Caenorhabditis elegans: one gene and its partners. The protein of the gene in region 1 interacts with the protein of each later gene in a pairwise test. Each region holds a gene or a part of one and is shown in the gene's direction. Other genes may lie near its edges. The genes, in order: F19C7.8, icpp-55, rabi-1 and hsp-25.

Region 1 (6,295 bases):
AGCATTTTTGTAGTTTGCAATTTTCTGATATCTCGCTTCTCTGTGGAGTTATATTTGTTTCAAACAACCTGTTCTGAAAAACAAATATTGGAAAACTCGAAGAAAGATGAGCGGATCATATTTTCTGCAAAACCTGCAAGGTTTTTGATTTTTATTTGGCAGACATCTTTATTAACCTCAAAATAATGTCATAACTCATAAGGGATGAGACGCAGACAAGGAGAGTGCCTCGCCGTCTGTATCTTCCCTTACCTCCCTTTTTACTGGGTTACCTTCAACGGGTCGTATCTTCGTAGAGCATGCTTCAGTCAACAAAATTTCCAATTGACGAAATGTGCAAAATTACACGGGAAAGATTTTTGTAGTTGTCAATTTTTTGATATCTCCTTTCTCCGTTGAGTTATTTGAGTTTGAAAATGGCTGGGTCTGTGACGAGTTTCTTCAGACATTGGCTCTTTTTTGAAAAAAACTGAACAGTTGAAGAGCGGTGCTTGTAAAAATACTTGAAAAATATTCTCATCTCGTTTGCACCATGTCGCTTCAAATTTTAAGGTTTTTGGCTTTTTTTTTGAACAATGTGAACTTCTACAAAAGCGGGCATAAATCAATAAAAACGCCGTCTTCAAAAGTTTATAGCTTATTTAAAATCCAAACGGGACCCCAAAACTCTTCGCTCTTCCTTAGCTCAATCCAGGTAATTTATCTCCATATCCCCAAACAAAATTGAGCCATCAAGCGAAGAGGTGTAAAATTGTGCAATGCTCAGGGTATTGTGCAATTTATTCGAAATCTTTAGCAGAAGAAAACGAGAATAATGAGTTCTTGCGAGCCATTCGGATATTGGTCATCGCCGGGCAAGCCGGAGCAGCTGCTCTCGCCGCGTTCCGAAATTCCATCAGGATGACAACGTACTAAAAGAGCATTGTACGAAAAAAAACACGGAGAAAATTTGTGGCAGCACACACAAAAACACAACAGCCGCATAAATTTCTCTCCATTTTTTGTCTTCTTCGTTTCTTTCGACACACAGCTGATTTTACACAGAACATCAAAAAGTGAGGGTGGATAATGATGATATGGGCGGAGATGAAGATTTTGTAGTTTTGGGTAAAAAATAGAGGAAGAGAAGAAGATGAAGCTCAGTGTTTTTGGTTTTTTCATCTTTATCTCATCTTTTTTTGAAAATTAGTTGTCGGCAGAAAGCAAATGTACTAATTGAGTAGAGGATTTATGAGTTTTAAAAGTGAAAAAATATTAGGCTACATTTTCTTTTCCTAGAGGTTTGAAATAAGCCTACCACAAAAAGGCCTGCCTACCTTCAAGCCTATGCTTGGTACCTTGACGTTCCGCCTGGGCGCCTCTAATATGCCTTCCATTTGCCTCTGGACACTTATATCTTTTTACCTATATAGTTTTCGGTCGTTAGTGTATAACTCAAACTGTGCTACGTGTGTAGGCAGACGTAGCCAGCCTTGTAGGCAGGCAGGCTTTATGGTTTACATATAATCCCAACTTTAACAAAAATTAGTTATCTTTCTAAACATAAATTAAGCGAATTCGTGCTCTCATTCATGTATATTAAAAGCCCTTGGCACTCGTAGCTCAAAGCGTCATGCGTGTAGGCAGCCTTGTTGGCAAGCAGGCAGGCAGGCATCCATTTTTCTGCCTACACAAAATGCCTCCTATTGCACAAAAATGCCTGAAAAAGATCAACCGGTTCATCGTTCCCGTTCATGTAAGAGGTCTCAAATCGCGAAACTTTCCCTTCCAGTTTTTATCAGAAAAAATCTGAGCTTTGTTAGGCCCGAAACTCTTTGCAAAACTAAAAACTCAAATTCCATAAATCACAATTAAGCTGTTTCTCTGCTATTTTGTATCTGCTCAAAAGTCGGGATTTGTCATTCGAGAACTCGTGAGAACCTCGCCGCCCAATTAAATTTTTTGAGTATACTATGGTCTTGTGATCAGTTTTTTTGGACCAAGTCTAAAGTACATATATTTTTAATTTTATGCGGCGCGTGTGGTAGGCCTTTTCCAAACCTCTGGTGACTGAAAATTCAAAAAAAGAAACCGCAAAACCAGTAACTTGTAGTTTTAAAACTCTAACCTGGAACTTTGCGTCAAAAAACATATCAAAAACAATCCAGTAAAAGACTTTAAAAACCAGGACACATTTTGCACAGTGATTGACAGGGAAGTTGATTGTTTTTCAAAAATCGTTGTTTTTTTTCTAGAATATAAAAGTATATAAACCTTTAAATTTTGAACTCTCTCCAATCCATCAAATTTCCAAGTTCTCAAGTCAAGAAATACTCAATCAATCTCTCTTTGCAGGAAACATTGTGTGTGTGTGAGCAAAATGGAGTTTAAAGTATCATCAAGCCAACGGTGTTCATCTCCTCCTTGGTTCCTCCATCACCACCTGACCACCACTGCTGGAGGAGCCTCTCGTCCTCTTCCATTGCATCACCGATCGCACTCTGCTTCCACCCCCACTACCACTTCATCCATCACCGCATCACCGTCCTTATCTCAACTTCCTCCTCACCAGCCCTACCATCTTCATCAACAACAGCAACATCATCAACAGTTGCACAAAACCATGACAAGTGCACTTGAGAAATGTACATCTTCGCTGTCTGAAATACATAGATTATTAAGAGGTACGTTTTTATGCAAATGTTTGGAGTTATTGTGTTTGTGAGTGCTGTGGTTTTGACTTCTAAAAATGACTTCCAATTTTTTTTTTGAAATTTATTGTACCGTCAAACAGTAGTGAAAACTTGGTTATCATAATTTTGGAAGTCATATATTTTTTCTTACGACTTTTTCATACTTCAATTGCGCTGCGTTCAAAGTGTTGCTATTTGAACATTCTAGATTTGAACATTCTGAACATGCAGAAATTATAAAAGTTCTTTAAAAATTATAAATGTTTGGAGGATTCGGCAAATTACCAAATTTCGATTGAGTTTTGAAAACTCTTTTTTGAAATGTTTTATTATGCCCCACTTTTAAGGATACTATTCCCATGGATACTCGGAAATTTATGTAGTACTTGACAAAAAACTGAACTAAAACCTCCGAAGTTTTTTTTTTCAAAAATATTGATCGTGTTTCTTGATCTGTGTCATTTCAAGAGTGTAAAATTTCCTGCAAAATGTTATAGCAAAAGCCCAACGGTTCTTCAGATATGAGCTCAAATTGGAAATACATGATTGATCGGCAGCTTCGGCTTAAGTTATACAAAATTTTCCATGAAAAAACGAAACATACACCACCAAAATTCAAAATCAAATTAGATTTATGTTTTGAAAAATTTGCTGCTATGGCAATTTCTCTAATGCTCTCATAATTGTAATTAACAAAAAAAAACGTTTTTTTAACGTAAATAAATGAAAAAGATTTATTATACACGTGAACTTGAAATAAAGACGTAGTTCAATTAGTTGCATTTTTAAAATTTCATTCCACTGCTATTATTCTAGACTTTGCGGCATCCATAACTAGCGCTTTCGAGCCCTCGTCTTCTGGTAAATCTTGGGTTAAAACTGGCCAAGGCCGATCCAACATCACACCAGCTTTCCGGGAGGGTCCATTTACCATGAGTGTAGAGCTTGGCTACAAATTAAATTAAAAAACACACATGTTATATTCCACCATACCAAAGAGAAAAGATGGTTGTTCAGTTCTGTCTTCTGGGCGTCCGCACCTAGCACCAAAGTTGGTAATACCGGCGTTGTCAAATTTTTCGGAATCGATTTTTTCTGTGATTCCAATGATAACAGATCCTTTGGGACACCATTGAATCGATCTCCAGTATCCATATGGCGAATCATTGTAAATGACAATTTTGTTATCGATGCTTAGGGTATCTGAATTAGAAATTGAATTAGCTAGTTTACCAATTAGAATAGTTACTTCCGTCCGGTGGATTGCAGAAAAAAATCAGTTCAGTGACACCATGATCTAGGCTCAAAACGCCTCGTTTCGTTTCAAGTTTGAGTTGGAATCCGTTGATGACTGAGCCTTTAGGACATGCAATATAGTCCTCCCGCGTGGGTAAATTCCCATGGGCAGTAGTGTAGAACACGGTGAAGATGAGCAGTGCAATCAGCAGGTGCATAGTTGCAGCCGTTATTAATTGATTGAGTGAAATTAATTTCTTCTTCTCTTTTAATTTTTTTCGCTCCTTAAAAATTTTCAGGTTTTTGTTTGTTATTTTGACGATTCTACGCCCACATAGGAGAACAAAACTTTGAACACAACTAAACTGAAGTGACTAAACTCAATGGAAGTTCGAGAAAGCTGGCGTTTATGTTAACAATCTTTGTTCTTTGCGGCATTTCTATAACTGAAAAATTTGATAAATAGAGTTCTCTGTGTTGCTTAGATAAGAAGATGACAGATTAGAAATTTATTATACATGTAAATGCACAGTTCGAGGGAATGCCTTTTTAAAATTTCGTTCCAGAGGCAATACAAAAAGCAGTTCAGATTTTACGGCATCCATAACAAGCGCTTACGAGTCCTCGTCTTCTGGTAGATTTAGGGTTAAAGCTGGCCAAGACCGATCCAACATCACACCAGTTTTCCTGGGTCCATTTACCATGAGCATAGAAGAACTCTGCAAATTCAATCTCAGAACACACTAAATGTTATTTTATCACACCAGAGGCAAAAGATGGTTGAACAGTTCTGTCGTCTTGTGGACGTCCGCATTTAGCAGCCAAGTTGGTGATACCGGCGTTGTCAAGTTTTTCGAAATCAACTTTTTCTTGGATTGCAATAATAACAGATCCTTTGGGGCACCATGTAATCTGTCTCCAGTATCCATATGGCGAATTATTGTCTATTACAATAAAGTTATCGGGGCTTTGGTTGTCTAAATTGGAAATTTAATTACCTAGTTTACTAATTAGAATAGTTACTTCCGTCCGGTGGATTGCAGAAAAAGACGAGTTCAGTGACACCATGATCAGCCTCGAAAAGGCCTCGCAACGGTTAAAGTTTGAGTTGGAATCCGTTGATGACTAAGCCTTCAGGACATGCAACTAAGTCCTCCCGCGTTGGTACATTTCCATGGACAGTAGTGTAGAACACGGCGAGGGTGAGCAGAACACTCAGCAGGGGCATGTTTACAACAGACAATATTTGATTTGATTTATTTCAATTGATTAGAAAATCTTATATACTCACTACCAGAACGTGACCTTTCAATTAGAAAGTGTCAACGTTAATGATTAATTGATTGAAACTATTTTCAAAGACTCCTGTACTGTGAGACCTGTGAGAAATAGTTAAAACCTAATACCTCTAAAATGACCAAATATCAAAACAAAACTTAGACCTGTGAGTTCATTGTCTCAAGTTGTAGTATTCAGTCATATTACTCGAAATTAGAAAATTACAACCTTAAAAAACCTCCAAAACTTAGCTAGAGATTTGGTTGAATAAATTTTAAATAAATATTTTATAGAATTTCTTTGTCCAAGCTTTCTCAAATTTTTGGGAAAAAAACGAATAAAATAATAATTACATTTAAATCAATAATTTTTTAAACGAATATGATTGAGAAATCGTGTGGCCGCGAATTTTGAATTAAGGCCCTTTTATTGAATTTGAGCTGGTTGTTTCCCACTTAACTAAATTTTTCCGTTTTTCTTGTGGGTGAATCGAAACTTTAAATTTCAGTAATTTCCGCACATCCACCACTACTTCTTTAAGAACGCGTAAATTATGGCGTTTGGACATTGACTTATCAGTAGATTTATATCGGACTTAAATGTCAGAAAATCTCAAAAATTGTAGGCTGCATATTTACTCCCATGATATCCAAAATTCCAACTAAGTTTGGCCCGGCACAATTTGCAAACATTTCAAGGGTCGTGGCAGTATCAGATTGAAATTTAAGTTATAAAGGAATTATCAACAAATTGGTGAAATAAAAGCAAGATTCATTACACACGCGAATAAGTTGCATTTTTAAATATTCATTACAGTACAATACAATACAAGTAGTTCAGTTCTATGAACTTTTATTCTATACTTTGCGGCATCCATAAGTAATATATTGGATTGCTTGGGGTTTGAAAATTTTAGGGTAAAAACTGGCCAAAGCCGATCCAACATCACACATTTGATCCCGGGCCCAGCTACCATGAGTATTGAGATCCTCTGCAAATTAAACCTTAAAACACAAAATGATATTCCACCATACCCCAGGCCGAATATGTTTTCTTAGTTCTGTCGTCTTCAGGACGTCCGCAATAACTACAAATGTCGGTGATACCGG
Region 2 (8,922 bases), on another chromosome or scaffold:
TTTTTTAAAGTCAAAAAAAAAAATTGAAAAAAGTTTAACTCCTAACTAAAACTTGGAAAATTGTCAAAAAAAACCAAAAAAAAGCTTCTTAAATCGAATTTTTGGCTTCTACCAAAGCCAGGTAGAATTTTCTGCAAAAATAAGAATTTGGAGAATTTGGAAAAAAATCCAAAAATTTGGAATCAAAAATCAAAAAACACTCAAATTTACGAAAATTTAAAGGATTAAAAAATTAAATTAAAAATTGTTTTCAAATAATCAAATTCTCTTTTCTGAATGAAAAAGTTTCAAATTCGAATTTTAAAAAAATTAAAAAATTATCGAAAAAATCGATTTTTTTCAATTAAAATTTGAAAAAAAAACGAATTTTTATCGATTAGGAGTATAATATCTGAAATATTATTTAAAAATATAAATTTTAAAGATTTAAATATAAAAACTTGGAGAAAAAATCTGGAAGCAAGCAGAAATCTGTCGAAAAACTAAAAAATTCCTCTTTTTTAAGGAAAAAATCTCAGAAATTCTTTTAGTTTTTAAAATTTTTGAAAAAAATTCAAAAAAAAATTCCAAGAAATCTAACTCCTAACCAAAACTTGGAAAATTGTCAAAAAAAAATCCAAAAATTTGGAATCAAAAATCGAAAATCACTCAAATTTACGAAAAATTCAACAAAAAATTGTTTTCAAATAGTCAAATTCCCTTTTCTGAATGAAAAAAATTTCAAATTCGAATTTTTTTTTGAAAAAAATTATCAAAAAAATCGATTTTTCATTGATTAAGAGTAAAATATTCGAATTGATATTTAAAAATAAAAAGCTTTAAAAATTTAAAAAGTTCAAATATTCGAGAAAAAAAATGCTTTTCTCAAAAATTCTCAGAAATACTTTTAGTTTTTAAAGTTTTTGAAAAAAATTCAAAAAAAATTTGAAAAAGTTTAACTCCTAACTAAAACTTGGAAAATTGTCCAAAAAACCGAAAAAAAAGCTTCTTCAATCGAATTTCTGGCTTCTACCAGAGCCAGGTAGAATTTTCTGAAAAAATTTTTTGAAGAAATCCAATAATTTAGAATCAAAAATCGAAAAACACTAACACTTACGAAAATTTCGAAAAAAAAAGTCCCGAAAAAATTCAAAAAATGAATTTTTTTCGATTAAGAGTATTTTTTAAAAAAATCAAATATAAAAACTTCGAGAAAAAATCTGGAAGCAAGCAGAAATCAGTCGAAAAACTGAATAATTAATTTCAGAAAAATTCTCAGAAATACTTTTAGTTTTTTAAAATTTTTGAAAAAAATTTTAAAAGTTTAATTCCTAACTTGACAAATTGTCGAAAAACCCAAAAAAGCTTATTTAATCGAATTTCTGGCTTCTACCAAAGCCAGGTAAAATTTTCTGGGAAATTTTTTGAAAAAATCCAAAAATTTGGAATCAAAAATCACTAAAATTTACGAAAAAGAACGTTCTTTTCCAATTTAAATTGAAAAAAAAACTAATTTTTATCGATTAGGAGTATAATATTTAAAAATACAATTCAAATATAAAAAAAATTCGAGAAAAAATCTGGAAGCAAGAAGAAAACAGTCGAAAAACTGAATAATTATCTTTTTTAAGGAAAAAAATCGCACTTTTTGGCTTCTACCAATTTTCTGGAAAAAAATTTGAAAAAATTTGGACAAAAAATCGAAAAACACTCAAACTTATTAAAATTGAATCAAAAAATTTAAAAAAAATTTAAACCGCAAATATCGAAAAAACGGGAAAAAAATTTTAAACATTGGATCGAAAAGTCTCAAAATTTGGTCACTTTTGGTAAAAACAGAAAAAATCTGAACAATTTGAGAAAATATCGATTTTTCTTCAAAATAAGAGGATTTTTTGTAGTTTTTCAGTTGAAAAATTTTTTTATCGAGAAACGTTTCGAAAATTTGAAGAAAAAAATCTCACATCCAAAATTACCATAAAATTGGAAAATTGATAATATTTTTTGAAAAAATACAATTTTAAACATTTAAAAAAAATTATCATATTGAAACAATCGAAAAAACTAAAATTTTTTGGTACTTTTAGTTTTCAGAATTGTTGAAAAAAAACTTTTCATCAAAAAAAAATTTTTTTAACCTAAAACTTCCGAAAAATTTCGATTATTCGGAAATTTTTTGGTTTTTTTCATAATTTTGTTTTCTAAAAATTCAAAAAAAAATCACTTTTTTTCAGGTACATCACCGGCGAGAACTGCATTGTTGGAGGAGGAGTCTCGTATCGATTGTAGATTTTTTTTGCAATTTTTCATTCATTTTTTAGACTTTTTTAGTAGGTTTTTCTGTTCATAATTGTTAAGTTTATTTTTTCTATTAATTTTTGCTCAATATAAAATCGAATTTTTTGTTTTACCTCCTTTTTTCTCTCGAAAATTCAGGTTCCCTGTTTCCCAAAAAATCTATTTTTTTCAGTTTTATTCATTTCTAAAAAAATTCGAATTTCCCTCCCACACAGATCAGATCCAAAAAAAAAATGCTCAGAAGTGGGCGGAGCCTACCAATGTGGCCATCGCGAATTCCAAATGAGGAATATGCGATGAGAAGGACGAATTTGATGAATTTACTCAAAAAAGAGGTCAAAACTGGGGGTAAGAGGCAGAGAAATGGCCTGGTGGCCTAGAATTCTGAAAAAGTTAGGCCATCATTTGGAAATGAGGATTTGCAGTACAAATAGGACTTTTTTAAATTAAAATTTTCTCAAAAATCCGAAATTTCGCGGTTTTTAATTGAATATTGGGATTTTTAAAGATTTTTTTTTCAAAAATTCGGATTTTTCAGATTTTTCCGTTGAAAACTCGAATAATTGCCAATTTTTGGGTAAAAATTCCAATTTTCTTTTAAAAAATTAATTTTTTTAATTGAAAAAAAAAATTAAGGCGAGTTTACTCTCAAAAATTTGGAATTTTCCGATTTTTAAATTTTTTTTTGAAAATTTGGATTTTAAAATCCAAATAAAGAGAATTCTCAAAAATCCGAATTTTCAGATTTTTTTAAAGGAAAAATTCTATTTTTCTCTATAAAATTAAATTTTTCCTGAAAAATGTTTTCCCATTTTTCTTGAAAATTTGATTTTTCTAAAAAAAAAAACGAAATTTTTCAGAAAAATTTATTCTACAAAATTCATCGTGTCGAGACCCGGTACCGTAATAAAATCACCATGGTGGCCTAGAAAACCATTTAAAAGTTAGGCCATGACCTCTCAAAGTTTCAGAAAAGCAAGTGGTCGTTGTGATGAAAGGAGCACGGAAATCATATATTGCACCGGATGTTCCACACGCGTTCCGACAGAAAAGCCATTTCAGGTTCGGTTTTGATGGCCGTGGCCGTGAAAATGATGAGAGAAAACTCGGCCACAGATTAACTTTTTAAGTTAAAAAAAGCTTTTTCCAGAAAAAAAATAAAAACTAGAGAAATTTTTTTAGATCCAATTTTCAAACAAATAAATAAATTTTAGAAAATTTTTTTTCTGAAAAAATCGAAGAAACAATCGAAAATTGGAATTTTTCCCAAAAAAAATTTCAAAAACAAGAATTGATTGAAATTCTTGGTACTTGTGTATTACATGCCCTCATTTTAATAGTAATTTTTTAAGTAGCAAAATAGCAATTTCTAAGCCTAAAAAGAGAAAATGTATATCACGTTTAATTTAAATGGAGAAATTAATGAACATTTAATTTAATTTAAAAATGAGGGCATGTAATACACAAGTACCAAATTCTTCAGAAAAAAATTGAAAATTTTTCAAAAAATCTAAAAAAGAATGAAAATTAATTTTTTTGTCAGAAAATATTTTTGTTTTGAAAATCAAAATTTCGCCCTAAAAAAATTGAAAAATAACCTAAAATTATCGAAATTTAAGCTAAAATTAATATATTAGTAGAATTTTTCTGAAAACATTTTTTTTTAATTCTAGATTTTCCCGAAATTTTTTGTTATAAAATTAGTAGAAATTTAACATGTTCTTCTTTAAAAAAAAAACTAGAAAATCAGGAATTATTGAAATATTGAATTTTTCAGGAAAATTTCGTTAAAAAAAATCATTGCCGCCGAAAATCGACAAATTTCTTTTTCTGAACGAAAATTAAATTATTTAAAAATTGAATTTGTTTTTTTTTTGTTCAACGAAAATAATAGATTTGTTCACAATTTTCGGATTTTTTTTGGGAAAAATTCAAAATTGTTTGATAAAAAAAATAAATTAAATTTTTAACAGAAAAAAATTTGAAAAATTTTTTTTTTTTGCAGATACCTAAACGGAATCACCACACCAGATTGTTATTACATAATGCAATCAGGAATATCCGAATCTTCAAAAGAAACAAATATTCTTTTTGCTGACCGTCGTAGTGCCTATGATGAGCTATGGGAAGGCGCCCTACCAACTGAATCCGAATGGGAAAAGACTGCAAAATTCACGGAATGTGTGCCGACTAGCCGGATTCTACAGACTTTGGAAAAAGTTTGCGATAAGGGAACTGCAGTGTTTTTTGATTCGACTTCTGATGATTTACTCTATAAGTTTGTACAGGCTAAAGCTAATTCTGTTCGGGAAATTAATCATTTTGTGAGTTTAGAGATATATAGAATTTGCAGAAAATTGTTCAAGCTTTGAAAAAAAAATCCGATTTTCGAGGATTTCAAAGTAAAAATTCAAATTTTGTCCAATTTTTAAACGAGGTCAATTTTTTTCGATTTTCTAGTGGAAAATTTGATTTTTTCTTGAAAAAAAAGAATTGTCTGAACAAAATAGGAAGTTTAAATTTTCCAGAAAATGGTTTTAGGAGGTTTTTTTCATCCCAGAATAAACATTTTTAATCTAATTTTTCAAATTTTTCAAAAAAAAAATTTTTTATTTACTTTTTATTTTGTTTCACCAATTATCAATAAAATTGAAAACGCTCCAAATTTTAAACTGAAAATTTTTTTTTCGAAAAAAAAAAATTTTTTAACGGTAAAAAAATTTTCCCAATTTTTACTGTTTTCGAAGCTTTCAATATTCATTTTTTTTTTAGGAAAAAGTTCTAGAAATTATTTTTTTGAAACTTTTGGAAAATTCCAATTTTTTCCTAAAAAAAATTTTTCTGAACACCCGAAAAATCGTTTTAAAATTTCAAAAAAAAAATTATTTTTTTGCCAATTTTCAAGTTTTCCTTGCAGATCGAACGTCGCCGAGTAATAAAATCTCCATCCGAAATGAGCTCAATGCGTGACGTGTGCAACGTGGGAGCCCAGACAATGAGCTCAATGATATCGGGATCACGTGATCTACACAACGAGAACGCGATTTGCGGGCTCTTGGAGTTTGAAGGACGTCGTCGTGGATCAGAAATGCAAGCATATCCACCAGTGATTGCCGGTGGTGTTCGTGCCAACACTATTCACTATTTGGACGCAAATAATGACCTAAATCCCCGGGAATGTGTTCTCGTGGATGCTGGGTGTGATTTGAATGGTTATGTGTCAGATGTGACACGTTGCTTTCCGATTTCTGGATTGTAAGTGCTAAAAATTAGTGATAAAACCCCAAAAAATTAAAAAAAATTGAATGTTTTCCCATTTTTTGCTGATTTCGCCCACAAGTCTATTTCTACGAAATCTTGCATTCCAGTATTTGTGGTGACTCAAATGAAAATTTTTCTCAGAATTTCAGAAATTACAGAAGTTCGGCCAAAATTCAAGAAAAATGGGGTTTTTCTAGAAATTTTGAATATTCCCGTTTGAGACACCACAAATCATTCTGGAATGCGAGATTTCGTAGATATGGATTTGTGGGAGAAATGGGCGGGGCTATTCCAAGATGGCTAAAAAATTACGCTAAACATAGAAAAAAAAAAGAAGAGGCACCACCGAAAGGAGAACAGGTGAAAAAGGAGAACAGAAACCACGCCCATTTTTTCCGTGCCGCGCGCAAGTTTTTCTGCAAATTTTTATTTTCAAACGAGACAACGAAGCTCCGAAATAACACGTTGATGATAAAGAACACGATATGCGTTATTTCGGAGTTTCGCTGTCTCGTTTGAAAATAAAAATTTGCAGAAAAACTTGCGCGCGGCACGGAAAAATGGGCGTGGTTTGTGTTCTCCTTTCTCCTTTCGGTGGTGCCTCAAAAAGAGTCTTTTTTGCACTTTATTCCTTTAAAAATCTCCAGAAAATTCAGGAAAAATGATTTTTTTTCTGGAGATTTTGAAAATTCTAATTTGAGTCACCACAAATTCGAGAAAAAAATGTTGTTCCGTAGAAATGGAATTCAGGGTGAAATTCCCAAAAAATTACGCTATAATGAATTTCAGAATTCAGGAATTGATTTTTAAAAAATAGAAGATTTCGAAGAAATAGATTCGTGAGAGAAATAGGCGGTGCTAATCACGGAGTTCTCCCCTTCCTCAGTGAATTTTTTGCGCTCCATTGACAATCGCCCGCCGGACAACGCGTGGGAAAGTCGTGTACTCCACACGTACAAATGCATTTAGTTTTACAACTAAAATCGAGCCGCGACGCGGCACCAGATATGGCCGAGCCAAAATGGCCTAGTTCGGTAAACTCTTCCATTCCAATTTATGAGGGAAGCCAGAAATCCGTGGATAATCGTTTTATATAAAGTTTAATATAATTCGAACGAAATTTGAAAAATCGTTTCAAAAAACCTTCCCAAAAAAAAATTCGTTTTTGCAGCTGGTCAGACGCCCAACTATCCCTCTACGAAGCGCTTCTCTACGTTCACGAAGAACTGCTCACCTACGCCCACTCAATGGAAAAAGTCCGCCTAAGCGCCCTGTTCCGCCGAATGAACGAACTTCTCGCGGCAAGTTTCACCGAACTCGGCCTGATTCGATCTACGGATCACAAGGAGATGATTCATCAGGCGGAGAAGCTGTGTCCCCACCACGTCAGTCATTATCTCGGAATGGATGTTCACGATTGTCCGACAGTATCCCGAGACATTGATCTACCACCGAATGTGCCATTTACCATTGAGCCGGGAGTGTATGTTCCGATGGATTGGCCTGTCAAAGAGTTTCGTGGCATTGGATACCGTATCGAGGATGACGTGGCGACTAGTGAAGCTGGAGGGATTGAGCTGTTGACTGCTGCAGTGCCAAGGGATCCCATCGAGATTCAGAGGCTCATGGGAACGGCCGAATAATTGTTTGAATGTGGAATACCGAAAGAATTGAGAAAATATTTTAGAAATTGCTCCAAATTTGGCCCTGATTTGATATTCCTTTGTTCAAACTTTTCGCTAAAAACATTCTCATTGGAGCGCGTTATGCCATGTGGATTTACGAGATTCAGTTTTACACATTTCTGTCGGTTTTTTTGCTGAAGATCTGCATTTTCGTGCCAATTGAACATTTTATTATCCAAAATTTTTTGCGAAAATTTTCAAAAAAATTAGTTAACTTTACACGAAAATCGATAACAATGATGAAACTCGTTGAAAATCTTAATCTCGTAAATCGACATGACTTTGCGCGCTCCAATGAGAATGAGGCTGGAGTGGCGGAAAAATAATAATTTAGAAAAATAAATATTTTCTTTTGAATTTTTCGGGCCAAATTTGGAGAGATTTCGGTACTGCGCCTCAAATGTTTTTTTTTTGTTTCTATAGTTTCCTAGTTTGTATTTTTTTTTTTGAAAAAACTCGCATTTTCATTGTTTTTCCTATCATTCCTATCAGAGGGGACTCGGGGGAACACAAAATTCAAAATTCACAGAAAACTAGGTGATGATGTTGCTGGAGGCAAAAGAACAAAAAAAGATAGAGAGGGTGGTGTTGGTGGTGGTGGTGGCAATATAAAAAATGAAAAATATAATAAAACAGGAAACGATAAGGCAATAGTGGGATAAAAACGGTATGAAACATCATTCAAACTGAGATTCAGCACAGGAATACTTGGGATGATGTGTGTATGTGTGTGGAGAGAACGAGAATTGCGAAAATGCAATAAGATTATATTATTGTATATGTGATCTTCTCCTATATTTGGAGCATTGTAGCTCCTGGAGCAGCAGCCGGAGCAGTAGACACTGCTGGAGTTGTATTTTCGATGATTGAAGACGCCTCGTCGAGCAGCATCTTCTCGTCGGCTGTAGCGTGTGGGCAAAAGTCCGACAGATCACCGACCAAGTGAGCAATCGATGGAACTGACGAGTGACGGCACATTGGGTATTCCTGGAAAAATTAATTAATTCATAAATATTTCGTGAAATTTTTAACAAATTATATATTTTTTTAAAGTTTCGCTTTATGAAATTTTTGAGTCTTTTGGCTCAATTTTTTCAACAAAAAAAATTAAGTTTTTCTGCAAGTTAAACAGGTTTTAGTATAATTTTCGCCACATCTGACGCGCATGGGTCTCGCCACGCGGATAACAGGTTACTGTAGCTCGTGTCGATTTACGGGTAATGCATTCGATATTTCAACCTTGGCAGCAAATTTTCAGAGGCACCACGTTTTCAAGTTGTTGGCACGGTGCCAGATCCGGAATCGCACCAGATCTTGAATCCGTGGTGCCTCTTTCGTTCTGCTCCCTTTTCGTGGGGCCTCAAAACTGGCACTTTGGGAATACATTTTCCGAGAAGCAGAAACTTCGAAAAAGGGGGGCGGGGCATAAGCAGTCACGCCCAGAAAATGGACAAAAATTTTGACTTTTTTGAACTTTAAAAAGTTGGGAATTTTTTCGGTAATTCAAAAAAAAGCCCCCGTACCGGAAAAACGAAATGCTTCTTCTCGGAATTCGGTGCTGCCGAATGAGAATTCGACGGAAGACGACTATTATTAATGTCGTCGTAGTTGATTTTCGGCTGCTCAACACATTTCTTCTCCGCGTTTTCGTTTCCTTCGGATAAGTAGGTTGGTGGTGGTCCAGTTTCAAAAACATCAT
Region 3 (6,094 bases), on another chromosome or scaffold:
ATTGTCGTCCCTTCTTCTGTCGTTTCCTTCCTCCGTTTCTGAAGCAAACTTTTCGTTTCGAATTCCCTTTTTCTTCTTCTTCTTTCTGTTTTCTATTCCACCAATTGAATCTGTTTCTGAATTCGATTTACCTAATTTTCTCTCGAAGCTTCTGTTTGCTTGGTATTTCAAAATTATATCATCACTTGAAATCCAAAAGTCCCTTGTAACATTTCAACTGAGTTTGTTATAGTTGAAAAATGCACAATTCTCCCAGAAAATGACTTAAGCTTACTGGCTGAATGTTAAAAAAATGATCACTGTGTTGTGCAGTTTGAAACCAAATAAAGTTCTAATATTTTGAAGGCCCGAGAGGACTGAATCATTTTTTAGTTTCTTTCTTGATTGATATAGGCCATTTTCGGTAGTTTCCTGATTCTATAAATTAACTAATTATTTGAATTTAGTGTGGTGAGGCTGTGGAAAGTTAATTGAACCAAAAGAAACAGAAATCTCGATTGATTTTGGCTAATTTTATATGTTGTTGGGATATTTTCTACTGTTGCATAGGTTACTTTTTTGTAAAATTATTCAAAGTTTTCTTTAAAATCAAGTTTTAAAAACATTAAGTTTATAAACTTCTAAATAGTACTGTCAAAACGAAGATCCTTGTTAAGTATATTCACAAGTTTCGGTAAATTCGAATGACCTTATTGCTAACCCAACCACATCCTAAAACATGTTCTTCGATTTATTTTCATTCACCATTCTTTGCATACGACAGAACATGTGTTAAGCTTTAAGACGGTTTTAGGTTGTACAAAACCATAAAAAACGCAGAAAATCACTAACCATGTCAGCTTTTGGTACGAAAACCAACGCTGTGTGAAATGTTGAAACTTGTTCTTGAAAAACTTCTCTAACTCTTAATTATACTTTTTCCCTTGTAGAAAACCTTCGATTAGTTTCTCATTTAGATACATGGCTCTAACTTCAACACTATCCACATTCCATATCTGACGCCATTTATTTTTTCTAAAGAGTGACTGTATAAGCCCTTTTGAGTACCTTTTTTGCCCGTAAAATCTGGCCGCCGTTCCCTTTTGATCGGATTCCTCTTTGCAATACCTACCAATACAATACAGACACACATAGTGTTGAGAGATCTAGACGGAGAAATGGAAGAAAACCGAAACCGCAAAATAAACACTGCGTGTTGTTCTGTTTTGCTGTACTCGTCTCCTTTTTGGAAGAAAAGTTGATGGGAATAGGTTCCAATTTTTGATTGGACAAGTATGATTCGATGTAACCCGTGCTCCATTGGCTCCACAAAGTCAACAAAAAGTCTATACTGAAGCCAATTTTGTACTTTTCACATATCTACAATGTCAAACATTTTAAAACGTTGTCTGTAACCATTTTTTCAGCTTCGGAGTATTATCTTGTGGTACTTTCGGACAGCTCTTACGAGATCTACATTTTTTTACGAGGTGACTTCGATTCTTCTTTTGTTTTTTTTTCCAAAAAATTTGTAGTCTTCTATTTTTGTTTCGTTTTTTTTCTAACTTCTTCTACTTCTTCTACTTCTTTGATTACACTTTTCTCACGAAATTTCAATTTCTTCTTTTTTCCGTGTGGTGGCTCCTTTCTTTCCTATTCGCTAACTGCTTCTTCATGAATAGCTAACTTTTTTCTTCTCTTCATTTTACTTCTTTTTCTTTTTTTTCCATTCCTTCTTTGGGACAGGGTTATTTGAAATTAGTGGTCGTATAACTAACCTTTTGATGAAAAACCAAGGACGTTTTGCACTTTTTTCATGTAAAAAAAGCGTAGAAGGACAAGCCTTTTGTTCACTTTTCATGTTTTCTAATCGAGATAACTTGGAACTTTTAGGGCAGTGTATTGCTTACTGATGTTCTATATCTAGTTTTTCGATTTTGGAAAATTGGAAATCATCGTTTATGGTTTTGTCCTCGACTTCCAGAAAACTGAATAATCGCCACTTTTTGACGGTTCTCAAGGTTACTATATAAAAGTTAAGCATCCAGGTGTCAATTAAAATGGAGTTCAGATTGCTAGCAAAAAACCAATGTCATGAGCTTTCAAAACGGAGCCGATAAAACGACAATTTTGTATAGGCTGCAGGTTTTTATTCATCTTGCAAAATGTGATATGCTCTAGATGTTTTTGTTACATACCTAACTAGAATAAGCTTTACTGTAGCTGTTTTAGAAATGAAGGTTCCGAAAACAAATAATGAATAGCATGAAATTATTCTGCTCGAGTCTCTAGCCGAGATCTAAAATTATCAAATTATTATGATCCGATGCCCCATTCGTTTTAAAGCTCTGAGGAACATCTTGCAACTTCAATTGCCCTTCAAAATTTCTCTCCAATCAATCTCTGTGTTTATGTGTTATTGTTGTTACTCTCTGGTCATAGAAGAATCTTTGTCTGTGAGCACATGTGTCATCTCTTCTCTCTCTCTCTCTCTTTTCCTGTTTTCTATCTTTCCCAAAGTTCAATCCTCATCTTCGTCGTGTTTTTTCTCTGAATCATCTGACTTTTTTCCCAGTTTTTTTCATGAATTCCCTGATATTTCAGAATCATTTCGCAATGCTTCTTCTCAACATCTTGTCTTCTTTATAATCCATTCGGGATTATAAAGGAACCTTATTCTTCCAGTCTTTCCCGCCTCCCTTTTTTACTTTCATTCCCCTTCGTTACATCACCAAAACCCGTTCTTCCTGTCTTCAATCTATCTGTATTACGTTATCAATGAAAAAAACATACATCTCCGTTTCTTTTTCATCTACAGACATCTTCTCTTTTCTATCATTGACATACATTAATACTTTACTTTAATTTCAGAATTAAAACTATCAAAGCAATACAAATTATGCAAAAATGGTTGATACAATTTCTGTTCTGAACCCAATTCATCTCGATTTGTCAGTCGATCCCCAGGATAATGTGAGGTAAGATGTTTATATTAATTAATTTACTGACAATTTGTAAATGATTCTTATTATACACTTTTATGTAATTTCTTTTAATGAAATATAATTCATTATATAGTATTTTATGACCACAGTAGTCCACATGTAACTGTGCTTCTTCTTCTCCGGTTTCATAGGTTCCTTAAAGAGTAATTTTCGTGAATCTGCGGAACGAAGTGCCGAACTTTTCATTGTTAATGCCTTGCCTTTCTTTGTGGAACACTACCATTTTCACTTTTACCCATGTTTGATATCTCTAGACTCTGGCAACTGAATTGCCTACAAAAACAATACAAATCTAACTCAACAATGCTGTCATCCCTAAACATTATTCGAGTAACTCTTTCAAACTTAAATTTTCAGAATCTCCGCCAGAAGCACAACATCATCATCTGCCTCGACATCATCCGACTCTGAGCTAATGAGTCCTAGGGCTGAGGAGCTTTTGAGAATGCAGGCTGAGCTCAGAGCAACACGAACGGCGCTTGCTGAAAAAGATAAAAAGATGACACAAATTCAAGTGACAGTGGATGCAGAAGTTCAAGAACTTACTGAAAAATTATTTCAGGTAAGACCAGTACAACTCCGATCCTGAGAAATTAGCTTATAAAAATTCTCGATTTTGATTTTCAAAATTTCATAAGATAATTTAAATTTTTAGAAAGTTGACCAAGTAAAAAAGATAAGAATGATATTGAAAACCGATGAAAAAGTCTCAAAACTCCCATCACATCTTCAAGTTTACAGGAGGCGTACAAAATGGTAAACACAGCAGAAGCTCGTCGTGAGAAAGCAGAAAAACTACTAACCGAATCAAGACTTGAAGTTGAAGTTCTTCAAGCAGAAGTACGTGCATTGAAAGAATTGATATCTGCTCCAGGAATGGGTCAAAACCATTTCAAGCAGACAACATCTCCAGAACATAAATCAACTTTATCAAAACTATTCAATGGATCAAGTTCATCATCAAAAAAACAAAAAGACGCTGCAAATGTATCAGATAAAAAGAAAGCTTCATCACTTCCATCTACATCAACATATACACTAACACCATCAGAAGATAGAGAACAAAAAGAAGCAAATGCAGTTGAAGAGATCGATCCAATTCTTTTTTCTGAATTTGAATTTTGGAGAGAAGCTGGACATCCGACGACATCTCATCCATTTATTGATAGAGTTACCGTTGAAGAAGTTGAACCATGTATGCTATTCGAAAACTCTGAGTTATCAGAAGAAATAATGAAGGCAATTCGAGAGAATCGTGTTCAACTTGAACCATTAAATGAACTGAAACCATCTGTAAGGATTTGTGCATTAACAAATGCTTCAAGGTTTTGTCCGTATCGAGTAAGAACTGGTGATGAGGAACAAGAATGGCATTATGTTTCGTTAATTGCCAGGAATAGGGTGAGTTATTCCACTTTTCTTGGTCTCGGAACGATTGATAATTTTAATTGAGACTGCCAAAAAGGTGCGCGCCTTTAAAGAGTACGGTAGTTTTCACTTCTCACAGTTTTGCCATTCTATTCGTTATTTTCTTTCGAAACCCTTTACTTAGAAAACGTAATAGAAACTACCTTACTCGTTAAAGGCACACTTTTTTTCGCAACCTGAATTTCAAAACTTTCAGTCGTGCCGAGACCTGGTACCGTAATCTTGATTTCTCAATTAACTCAAGATTTACAGATTGCCGCAGTCTGTGACTTCTTCACGTGTATCCGATACTTGTCCCAAGGTTTGATCAAACCCGGGCCTCGAGATTCATATTTTCACGTTGTAAACTTGCGGAAAAACATGTCACTTGCCAAACTGGGGCTAGGATTTGTCCCGCGTTCCAACATACGCCATCATTGAATTAATAGTATTTTACCATAATTTGAAACTACAGGTCTTTCACACTTTTTATACAAATAAATAATTCAATTACAAATTTTTTGGTGGTATAAATTATTCGTTTTTACATTTTACAAAAAAACAACTATAAAACGGATCATCTCAAGAACATTGGGATAAGGCAATAGAACAACCAATCATTAAGCGGATAGAAATTAAATAAAACGAGATTTTTGAAGACAAAAAAGGAAGGAAAGAAAGAACAGAACAGGATAGAAGAAAAGGAAGAAAAATCACAGAATTATAGAGAGAAAGACACACCTCGTGTTTGCAGCTAAACAAAATATGGAGAATTAAAATGTATTACGAGTGCCCAGAAATCATCTACAATTCTAGAAAATTAAGATTTTAGACAATTTGTTCTGGGCTCATTTTGGATGATAAATCTTCGAATTCACGTGAATTTGATCACTTTTTCTGTTGCAATTGATTCGCCAGCCAATCCATCGCTGGGTCGAGCCCTTCTCCTTTTGAAGCAGATGTCTTGAAAATTTGAATGGTACGATTACGAAGAGCATCCAATCCCAATGCTTTGTACACTTCAGTTTCAGTCAAACATCCAGCAATATCTTGTTTATTGGCTAAAACTGCTAAAACAGCTCCTTGAAGTTCATCCTCTTGTAGCATTGTTGCAAGTTCTTGACGAGAGATTCCAACCTAAAACAGTTGATATTAAAATCCTTACTACAAAAAATAAAATAAAATTTCAAACTTACTCGATCTCTATCAGCAGAATCCACAACATAAATGATTGCATCAGTATTCGCATAATAGCATCTCCAATAAGGCCGTATCGATGTTTGTCCTCCAAGATCCCAGACTTGGAATTTCAAATTTTTGTACTCGACTTGTTCCACGTTAAAACCAATTGTTGGAATCGTGGTCACAACTTCACCGACCTGAAACTTAGCTTATATGGTTTTGTTTTCAGCCAGAAATAAAAACCTGCAGCCTATACAAAATTGTCGTTTTACCGGCTCCATCAAGTCCCAAGATGAGAATACGCATTTCGCGGGCGCCAAAGAGGCCACGAAAATATGACATTACTCCTCCCATTGCTTCTGATCTGAACACAGATATTTAAATTGAAATCGGAAATATTTTGAAACGTTTTGAAAAATAGGAATACAAGTAAACGTGGATTTACGAGCAAAAAACGTAGAAGGCTAGAAAATAAATTCTTAATTTTTTCTTATAAATAGTCTTAAATATTAGCGAAATAA
Region 4 (9,214 bases), on another chromosome or scaffold:
GTTTCTTTCGAAAGAAAGTTCTCGAAATATTGGTGGTAAGCAGCACTGAGAAGATTACCAGAGGGCAGCCATCGGCAGTCGTCATCCAATCGTCGGGTCTGCCGCCGGCGCCATCACCATCTCTCATGTCGTCTGTATCTTTTGCATCATTACCTTGTCGCGTTTTTCTCTCAACTTCTTCTTTTTCTCTGTTCACCTCTTTTGTTTCTTGTTCTTCTTTCGCATAGTTCCTTCCCGTCAGGACATTTTGCATTCCCGTTGCCTGTTTACTTGTGTCTTTCTTTCTTTTTCCCATCTTCTATTAGTTGCGTCGTAGATAAACCGGGGCAAAAAGTAAGCATTGATAATGGATCAAGAGACGGATAGAGATTGGTTGAATTGAGGATTGAATAGCGATGATGACCACTACGCGGACATTCAATTGGTGTTTCATGTTCCGTGGAAAACTTGTACGTTTTGCCACCTTTACTAGTTTTAAATCTGCATGTTTCTCTAGACCTGGACATCTAAAAACAAAAATAGTTGAAACTCAAATTGTGTCAAAATGAACAAATTTTGAAATAATATTTTTCAAAAATACACATAAACTTTTTTATGGCGGTTCAAAATTTCAAGAAAAATTACCCAATTTTAGCTAAAGCTTTTATTTTGCCAGCCTTTTTGGGCCACAGTCGTCGAATCAGTTTCTTTTGAATTATCATTGTTTATTGCGCATTTTGGCATTTTTAATTTTATAGGTATCCAAAAACGACAAAAATGACTAACATTCAATGTTAAATGACTAAAAAAAAGAATTAGCTCTAATTATGTGATTTTTTTTCCCAATTTTCAAACTGCCATAAAACTTTTTCGAAAAAATATGGAGCACTCTCATTACAAAATTTATCGACCAAGACACATTTTGAATCAATACAAATAGAAAATCAAGGTTGATACCGTTTTTTTGTGGCGTACCGAAATCTTGTTGACAATATTCTAAGCTTTAGCTGAAAATAAACCGTTCTTTTTCCAAAACTCACTATCAGCCCGAAAGCGATTCTCCACTTTTAATTAGTGAGAAAAAAGTTACCCTATCAACTTTGTTCTAACAACTTCCTTATTAACACATCCCCTACGCTTCTCTGCTTATCATCCTTCTCTAACGATCAAATGTGCATGATCATTAAAATGTATCTCTCCATTAAATCAAAACGATAAGAACGCCGTCTTCTCCATTTTCGTGACCGGCCATTATCATTTCCACCCAGTCAGCCGCATTATGTGTACATCTTCATTTCGCGCGCTTTTCCCAAACATTTTCCCAAACATCTGCGCGCGTTCACTTTGAAGAAATCAACAAAAATTGATTGAATACAGCTGTGGTGTTACAGCAAACGGGGGGGGGGGGGGCAACAAACCGAGGTCCAAGATGCTTTTCGCCGTTGGCAATCGGGGGGGGGGGGTACCTCTAATTTTTTGTCAGCTGGCTGGCTGGCAGCGTGATATCCTCTTACCCCTTGGCCAGAATTTCTCTGCTCCTCATCTACACCCCCTCGAGCCTATCAACACCCACATAAACTAAACAACAAATATTGCAGTTCAGGACAGTGAACCCTCCTTAGTGCTCATACTTAGTGCAATGATGTTAGCATACACACACATATGTGCGTGTCTCCGTCTTATATTCTTATTCTCTAGCGATTTCAGTCACTCGTCCTCCACTATTTAATTGAGAGCTCATATTTTCCGTTTGTTCAGTATCTTGTTCTCAATTCAAATTCGCTTGACATTTATACCCTCTTCCCATTTCAACTAATTCATTTATCCAAAATTCTTATGACGTCACTAAAGTATCAAGAGAATGTAATCTACTTATAATTCTTCGTGCAGTTTAAAAATGTTAATCATCATCTCGTAATAGTTATTTTTGATTTATTATCTCCTTCTTATCTCTACTACAAAGCACGTTTATAAAACATGTCTTACTAAGTAAGAAAGGGTTTGAAGATTTCACCGGACTACGAGACATGTATCATTTGAAAGCCCCTGAATTGGCCCAATATGAACTCTAAGCTACAAATTTTCAGAAATCTCATAGATGCTCACAGCAGCATGGCTCACCATCGGTGCTCTGGGGACATGTGTGGTATGGTAGCAGGCAGAAATTATGTTTTTGTCAATACACACTTTTGTAATATCATAAAAAGCTCGGAAATTTTCTGATTTTTATTCAAAAATTATTTTTATTTGTATATTGACAAAAAGGTTTTTTTTTCAAAAAAATCCCACACGATTCATACAATAACAAAAATAATACACTCTAGCCAAAAACAATTTTTCTATCTGATACCACCATCACACCTGTCCTGAGAGCACCGATAATGCGCTACTTATGGTACTCTGATCATCTTTAAGCTCACCGCAAGATTAGTTCTGAAACATTGCAGCTCAACGTTAATTTGTTCATAATTTTTCAATACGGGCTTCCAAATTAAACATGCCTTGTTTAAAAGTCCGGAGGCACTTTCAGACCTTTTTATAGTTAGGGAATTAGTATGGACAAACTGTTGAAGTCTTGTACATATTTATACATATGAAAAAAATTTTGAGATGATTTAGTGTTTTTCATTTTTCAGTTTTCGACATATGTAGTTGCTTAATGTTTCAAGATACTTTCAAATTTCTAAAAAAAAAACGCGAACATTGCTCAACTCACGTGTTGTCAAAAACTATTTATTTTTCAAATAAAAAACTACTGTTGGTTGGAAGGAAAGCATTTGTCGATCATCTAGTCGGAAGAAAGCATTTTCCGATAATTCAGAACTTTGGAATGTGCTTCGACAACGATGAAAATGCTTTTTGCCTTTCCGATATTTTTCCCCGTGCTTTTTTCACAAGGCGTACAAAGACGAAAAAGCATCAATGGTGGTTAGAGCCAAATCATAACAAAAAAAGTTTCATTTTATATTTCCATCATGCCCACGTACACTCGAACTTACTCCTATAGTAAAAGGTATGGTCCATTTTTCCGATTTCGAATTCCCACTTCACACTTTTCAATGACGTTGTTAAGTTTAAAATTTTCAAATCGCAGTTTTACGGTTTTGTTTGCGTTTTCATAACGCATCATAACTTTCATATCATTTTTATCTACCTCTATCGAAAATGTATAAAAAGTTTGACTATTCGCACAATTTTGCAGAGAAATGTCGGAACGCCGTATCGACGTAAACCGTTCCAACTACTCGGTCATTGACAATGAATTTGGAAATATGCGTGATCGTTTTGAGCAAGAGATGCGTCGTGTTGAGGAGGAGATGAAACGTCTTCGCAGTGAATTTGAAGGTTGGTTTTTTAAATTTATTTTAAACTAAATATTTTTTTCTAATTGTGGAAATCTACTTTTAAGTTAAATATGTAGTCGTCAATTTTTTCCCGTATTTTACAATTAGATATATTTTTCAGCACTTTTTAAAAATGCAACTAGTTAGAACATTAGATTTGATTAGTTTAAAACCAGTTCTCATTACAGTTGAAAAGCTGTATGAAAAGGTTCAAAAATAATCTGATGGGTCAATTTTCCCAACATCTGCCAGAAACTTTCAGGCTAATTGTTCATAATTTCAACCGATTGTAAAAGAACTCGTACTCCTCAACCTATAAAAAACAAATATAGCTAATTTTGTTTTATCAATTGTTTTTCTAATATTAATTTTTTATGAAAAACATCTGACCAAGATTTTGAGCAACATAATAGACAAGATGTTATAGCCAAAAAATTTTCTCAAAAAAGTTGAAGTTTCCGCCTAACATATTTTTTAAAAAGTGTGAGTTCCCAGCTAATCCTTTTTAGAGCAATACAATAATCCCTCCACTACCTTTTTCAAAAAATTTGAGTTTTTCTCCAAAAAATATTTTTCTTAAAATTAGATTTTTCCGCCAAGTTTTACCTAACTCTTTCAAAACTATTTCAGTTTTTAATTTTCAAAAAATTGAAATTTTTAAGTGGAATTCAGTTTCAAATAGGTGTTCTCCATTTTTTGGAATGTTATAAACCCCCGAACTTGTCCAAGCGAGACAACTCACATTCATCCTGTGTTCTTGTGTGTTTCGATGTATTTCGTCACCACATTCCACTTATTTTTCTTTTGTTGTTATGTTTCTCAGTTGGCACGTCGAACTTGGCAAAAAAAAACCTGAGAGCGACAGCTGATGTTTGTTCATTCGTTTTTGAGATTATAAGTAGAGCATACAAAATGAGCACTTTGAAGAATAATGTACCAGGATGATCCGGAAAGTAGATTTAAGAACCAATACTTTCGATTGAAAATTGCGCTACACAGCATTATAGATTTTTGTGTAATAATTTAAGCTTTCTCTTCAATTTCACAAACCCATATTTTACAAAAAAAGTTGTTTTCGAAAACATTCCTGCCTCTTATTTTGGAGAAAAAAGGCCTCTTGACAATATTTTGAGAAAAAGCTGAGAAGAACACAAAGAAAAGAGGACAACGTCATTTTCCGGACCCTCACTGACCAAATTTCATTTCGCGGTGCCTAATGCACTGGAACTGCGCCAGTGACAGCATTCACCTTAACTTTCTTCGAAATTTGTCATTTTCGTCTTCAAATCTCTTGCCGAAATATTAGTGCGTTATCCCCCCGACTACGTCAATTAGTTCAACACTTTAAAAGCAAGGTCACCTTGCGTTTGGAGACAGGGTGATGAGGTTCATGATTGCAGGCTATCGTCCAAACGGAGGCCCACCGGCTGCCATCTCCAATCAGCCGTACAACGCCTACTCGAACACTTCTTCTCACCACGAGACTTCGAACCGTACTGGTGGATTCGGATCTCCACTTCCACCACCATCTTTCCACGGTTAGTTTGTACACAGTTATTTGAGATAGAAAAAAAATTTGCTGAAAGGTTTCAAAGAAAAAAAAACTTCCCAACTTTCCACAACACAACAGCATTTTTTTGGTATGCTGAAAACTGCTCCTTCTAGCATGATAATCCAATTCTTGAATTAAAAATTATACATAGTAAACGTGTAGAATAATATTTGGTCAATTTTGAACAAGATTTTTATTTATTTAGAAAGTTCGAGAAAAACCAGAAATAGTGCCCGAAAGCTGCCCTTATGTCGTTAAATTTTTTTCGGCAAACGACAATTTTCAGACACTATTTAAAATATTATTTGGAACTTTCTACAAACATATATATATATATATATATATATTTAATATTGAGCTTTTTTTCCTACATTCGTATATTTATTTTAATTTTAAAAAATGGATATTCATATTTTTTGAAAGATTTTCTGCAAAGCCCTTATGAACACCTCCAATCCCATTGTTTCACAGCGCTAGAAAAAAACCCAAATGGATGGTTGCAAAATGAAGAAATTTTCAGTGGCTGCATGCCTATGTGTGCTTAGCGTGGGGGCACTTCTTCATCCTCCTTTTCCCTCTCTTCCTTCCTTTTTTTGTCGTCGTGTTCCAATAACTGGCCATGCAAAAAAACATGTTTTCTAAGACTCGTTTCTTGTTCTTGATGGCTTTTCAAAACAGGATTTCTTGAATCGGTATGAAAGTCAAACGGAGGATTCGTCATATTTTGGCGATAACGATTCGGAAAATTTTCGAATTTTAGGACGGGAGGGAGAAAGGAAATAGCAAAGGGACGAATAACGCATCATTCAGCGTATGAAATTATCTGCAGCCGGCATCAATTTTGAATTTTCACTCACTCCGTTTCATTTTCATCCATCCATTCGTCATTTTAACTCTTTCCCTTACTATTATTCGCCCATCATCAATCAGAGTAAAACTCAGAATGGGCATGATATGAGCCGGCCAACTCACAAACTCTTTTTGTCAGTTTGGTTTGACACAGAAAACAAGGACAAACTAAGAGCATACTTGTAGAAAAGTAATGTGTCGTTGGAAATTCCCAATTGCACAATTGAGACGGGCTCACCAGATTTTTTTTTCGTCAAAAATATAGTTTTTTTTTCTGTTTCGTAGTGACCTTTTCATGCAGATTTCAACTTTTTAATATCAAAAGTGGGATTTCGCAAAAAAATAACTAAATCTCTAAAATGTTTTAGACATTTTAAAGATTTTCCTAAATGCCTAGTTTAAGTTAAAATGACAAATTTTTGAAAACAATTAGAGCTTTCCTGCAAATTTGAAGCCTTTAAATTATTGAATAAAAATATTTAAATCTATATTAAAAATTCACACCATAAGAAAAATTTTAAAAAATTTGCCCGGAGGTTTTTGTGCATATTCCTCATCTACCAATGTTTATGTTTTCATATTAGGTTTTTTTTCTTTTGACCAATTTTGCTTATTTATCGATGGTTCCCAACAACACTACGTCGGTATTAAATTTCAGCGCAACATTTTTTTCTTTTTTGCCTTTCTGCGGGTTTCTGTGAATATGTTCTTTTTGTTGTGAACTCGCAAAATATATTCAAAACCAAATTATTACACAGTAGTTTTATGCACTCAGCACATCCTGAGAGGTCGCGTAGGCAGCCGCATAGCAACATTTCGGCAACAACACTGCAACCTCGGCGACGAGTTTTGCTCTATTTTCTATTGTTGTGCTACGTCGCATTCGCGTTTTTCATATTATTCACTTTTTTTGTTGCAGGACCCAGCGACTTGATGGCTCATCGTCCAACCTACGATCCATACTTGGACAACTTGAAGAGCCCACTCATCAAGGATGAAAGTGATGGAAAGACTCTTCGTCTCAGGTACTTTTTTGAGGCATTTTCAACTCTTAGATTAAGTTAAAAGATTCAAATTTTATTCGAAAAATATTAAAAATATAATTTTAATTCTGTATTTACCGGCCTCAAACTATTCAAAATAACGAACTCAAATTTTATAAATATTCTGAAAATTATCTAAATGTTTCCGATTTTTCAAAACTTTCAGACAAAGTAGTGAAAAATCTCCAAAAGTTAAAATCTTTGAATTTTTGTGATGTTCAAATAACTCGTCCAAGTTCAAAGCCAAACAATGTATGAATGAAAGTATTGAGGAAAAAAATCGCCTTAACTTTTTCAAAAATCAATTTCCAAAGTTGAAAAAATATTTTCAAAGTTATTTTTTTAAATTATACATAAAAATTTTACTCTTATTCCAAGCATGAATATCAATCACATTTCATTTTGGTTAGCTCTAAATTCAACAAACTCATAAAATTGAAATTTCGAGTCAAAAAAATCTGTACCATAACCGAAAAATTGATAAAACTTATTTTTTACCAGTCAAGAGAAAAACTGAATTTTTTATTTAACAAAACTGAAATTCCAGATTTGACGTAGCTAACTACAAGCCAGAGGAGGTTACCGTCAAGACTATTGACAACCGTCTTCTTGTCCACGCCAAACACGAGGAGAAGACCCCACAACGCACCGTTTTCAGAGAGTACAACCAGGTGGGTGTTTTTTATTTTTATTTTAGAATTCAAACAGTTCTCTTGGGGCTAAAAATATGGAGCGAGGCCCCAAGGTGTCACTCTTCATTCAGTTGCATTAATCTATACAATCAAATTTCCAGGAATTCCTTCTTCCAAGAGGCACCAACCCAGAACAAATCTCATCGACTCTTTCGACTGATGGCGTGCTCACTGTCGAGGCTCCACTCCCACAATTGGCAATCCAGCAATGAAACCAAAAATATCGCCGCCTGCTTCCTCACCAACCCGAATAACGCAACAAAAACTTTACATTTTTCTAATAAATCAACTTTTTCTTGTAGTGTAAATCATTAAAACTTGTAGACTCAACCATAATCCTTTCTTTAAACATGTTTACGATTCATTTTCCAATTCAATCCGCTTCATTTTTCAATACATTTAATACCTACAAATCTTATTGGTTGTTCATCAATTTTCTGGAGTAAATGTTCATCTTTTCATTAAATCTATAATAAGATCGCAATTTTATCAAATGATTCGTTTTAACAATTGATTGATACTGATGGAAAGTGTCAGGCAAAGCAAAAAGTGTATAAGACTAGCAATACATCACTGAAAATGGAGAGAAAAAGAAACAAAAAATCGATTATGATAAAAATTGTTTTAAAAAGTTAAAGAGTTCCCCGTGCATTATATGAAAATAAAAAGAAAAAAGAAAAGAAACACGTTTCTGATCATTCAATGAAAAAATAAATTTTCTAGCGGAAAAAAGCGAACTGGGAAAAAATGGAATTTTGATAGAGTTTGAAAATTGATAGTAACAACGAGAACAAAAAGTAGGTATTCGAAACTCAGAGTTCGCGCAAGCCAATTTGAAAATGTTTATCCGTAGCTTCGAGATGAAGAAAAAAAAAAAGAAAAATGGAGGCTGGCCAAAATGAGGGAAAATGGAAAACCATGTCAGATGTTGAATGTTAGCATGACCGGCTGAAAAAATAATAATTCAAATTTTTTTGTTGATTAAAGAGTTTTAGAATTCAAAAGATTATTTAAAATAAAAACTAAAACGAGGTCTTAGTGTAGTTTTTTTTTAACATATTAATCCAATGTAATCATCATAAAGCTATTCAAAATTATATTTAAAACATGTTTTTTTTTGATATTCAAGTATTCAGGAAAGTTGTTTTCAATTTGAACACAAGTTAACTTTTATTTTGTAATTCTGAATAATTCTTTGAAAAAGTTTAAAAATAGTATTATTTAATGCTGTTCAAGCTATTTTGATATACTGTTTAAAAAAAAATTTCAAATTTTTTAAATAAAGTTTTTTTAAGGAATTATTTTTATAGCAACAACAAGTTGTTGAAAATAGTCTGAATATAATATCAAATTAAATTCACTCGAATTCTTAATAAAAATTTGACATGAATTTTCCCATTTCTTTTTCACAGCTTCCAGTCAACGTTTTCTAGTCAACTAGTCAACGACAAACTGACAAATCTTGAATAAAAATGAGTTAATTTGAGAAGTTTCAATCATTTGTGAAGATTTTCAAAACCTTTTCAAAGCATTTTTTTTAATTATAAAATCTGAGTTAAAAAAAAACCAAAAAATCTGTTAAAAAAAGATATTTGTCTCTCACTACATAAAACTACACTAAATTATGTCATTGTTAAATATAGTATTTTAATAAAAATATTCCAAAAATTAGAATATTACCTTATGATCTCCAGTACAAGTTTCCATTCCAAATGACCTATACTGAGGCTCTCCTTCTTCCACCAACGAGTATGC

What was found.
Region 2: the proteins of F19C7.8 (region 1) and icpp-55 interact in a two-hybrid assay, tested with the Caenorhabditis elegans proteins (one large-scale study listed by BioGRID).
Region 3: the proteins of F19C7.8 (region 1) and rabi-1 interact in a two-hybrid assay, tested with the Caenorhabditis elegans proteins (one large-scale study listed by BioGRID).
Region 4: the proteins of F19C7.8 (region 1) and hsp-25 interact in a two-hybrid assay, tested with the Caenorhabditis elegans proteins (one large-scale study listed by BioGRID).

The regions. Positions count from the first base shown.
Region 1 is NC_003282.8:4,634,160-4,640,454, reverse strand, and holds the start of F19C7.8 (SH3 domain-containing protein), read left to right. Parts: upstream 1-2,359; coding exon 2,360-2,663; intron 2,664-3,484; coding exon of another isoform or gene 3,485-3,621; intron 3,622-3,665; coding exon of another isoform or gene 3,666-3,875; intron 3,876-3,921; coding exon of another isoform or gene 3,922-4,126; exon of another isoform or gene 4,127-4,154; intron 4,155-4,493; coding exon of another isoform or gene 4,494-4,627; intron 4,628-4,672; coding exon of another isoform or gene 4,673-4,885; intron 4,886-4,931; coding exon of another isoform or gene 4,932-5,004; intron 5,005-5,974; exon of another isoform or gene 5,975-6,043; coding exon of another isoform or gene 6,044-6,177; intron 6,178-6,220; coding exon of another isoform or gene 6,221-6,295. Other genes in the region: R105.5 (Vitelline membrane outer layer protein 1), read right to left, coding at 3,485-3,621, 3,666-3,875, 3,922-4,126; R105.1 (uncharacterized protein), read right to left, coding at 6,044-6,177, 6,221-6,295.
Region 2 is NC_003279.8:367,034-375,955, reverse strand, and holds icpp-55 (Aminopeptidase P N-terminal domain-containing protein), read left to right. Parts: upstream 1-2,510; coding exon 2,511-2,625; intron 2,626-3,242; coding exon 3,243-3,339; intron 3,340-4,282; coding exon 4,283-4,601; intron 4,602-5,194; coding exon 5,195-5,532; intron 5,533-6,709; coding exon 6,710-7,181; 3' UTR 7,182-7,455; downstream 7,456-8,922. Other genes in the region: R119.3 (DeHydrogenases, Short chain), read left to right, coding at 2,214-2,268; rnp-8 (RRM domain-containing protein), read right to left, coding at 8,016-8,210, 8,747-8,922.
Region 3 is NC_003280.10:8,581,843-8,587,936, reverse strand, and holds rabi-1 (GDP/GTP exchange factor Sec2 N-terminal domain-containing protein), read left to right. Parts: upstream 1-2,850; 5' UTR 2,851-2,886; coding exon 2,887-2,957; intron 2,958-3,341; coding exon 3,342-3,546; intron 3,547-3,725; coding exon 3,726-4,385; intron 4,386-4,664; coding exon 4,665-4,832; 3' UTR 4,833-4,903; downstream 4,904-6,094. Other genes in the region: arl-1 (ADP-ribosylation factor-like protein 1), read right to left, coding at 5,280-5,528, 5,588-5,770, 5,817-5,927.
Region 4 is NC_003284.9:6,033,204-6,042,417, reverse strand, and holds hsp-25 (SHSP domain-containing protein), read left to right. Parts: upstream 1-2,773; 5' UTR 2,774-2,954; coding exon 2,955-2,992; intron 2,993-3,181; coding exon 3,182-3,324; intron 3,325-4,475; exon of another isoform or gene 4,476-4,558; intron 4,559-4,716; exon of another isoform or gene 4,717-4,723; coding exon 4,724-4,861; intron 4,862-6,643; coding exon 6,644-6,749; intron 6,750-7,314; coding exon 7,315-7,438; intron 7,439-7,560; coding exon 7,561-7,671; 3' UTR 7,672-7,955; downstream 7,956-9,214. Other genes in the region: ipp-5 (putative type I inositol 1,4,5-trisphosphate 5-phosphatase), read right to left, coding at 8,381-8,407, 9,140-9,214.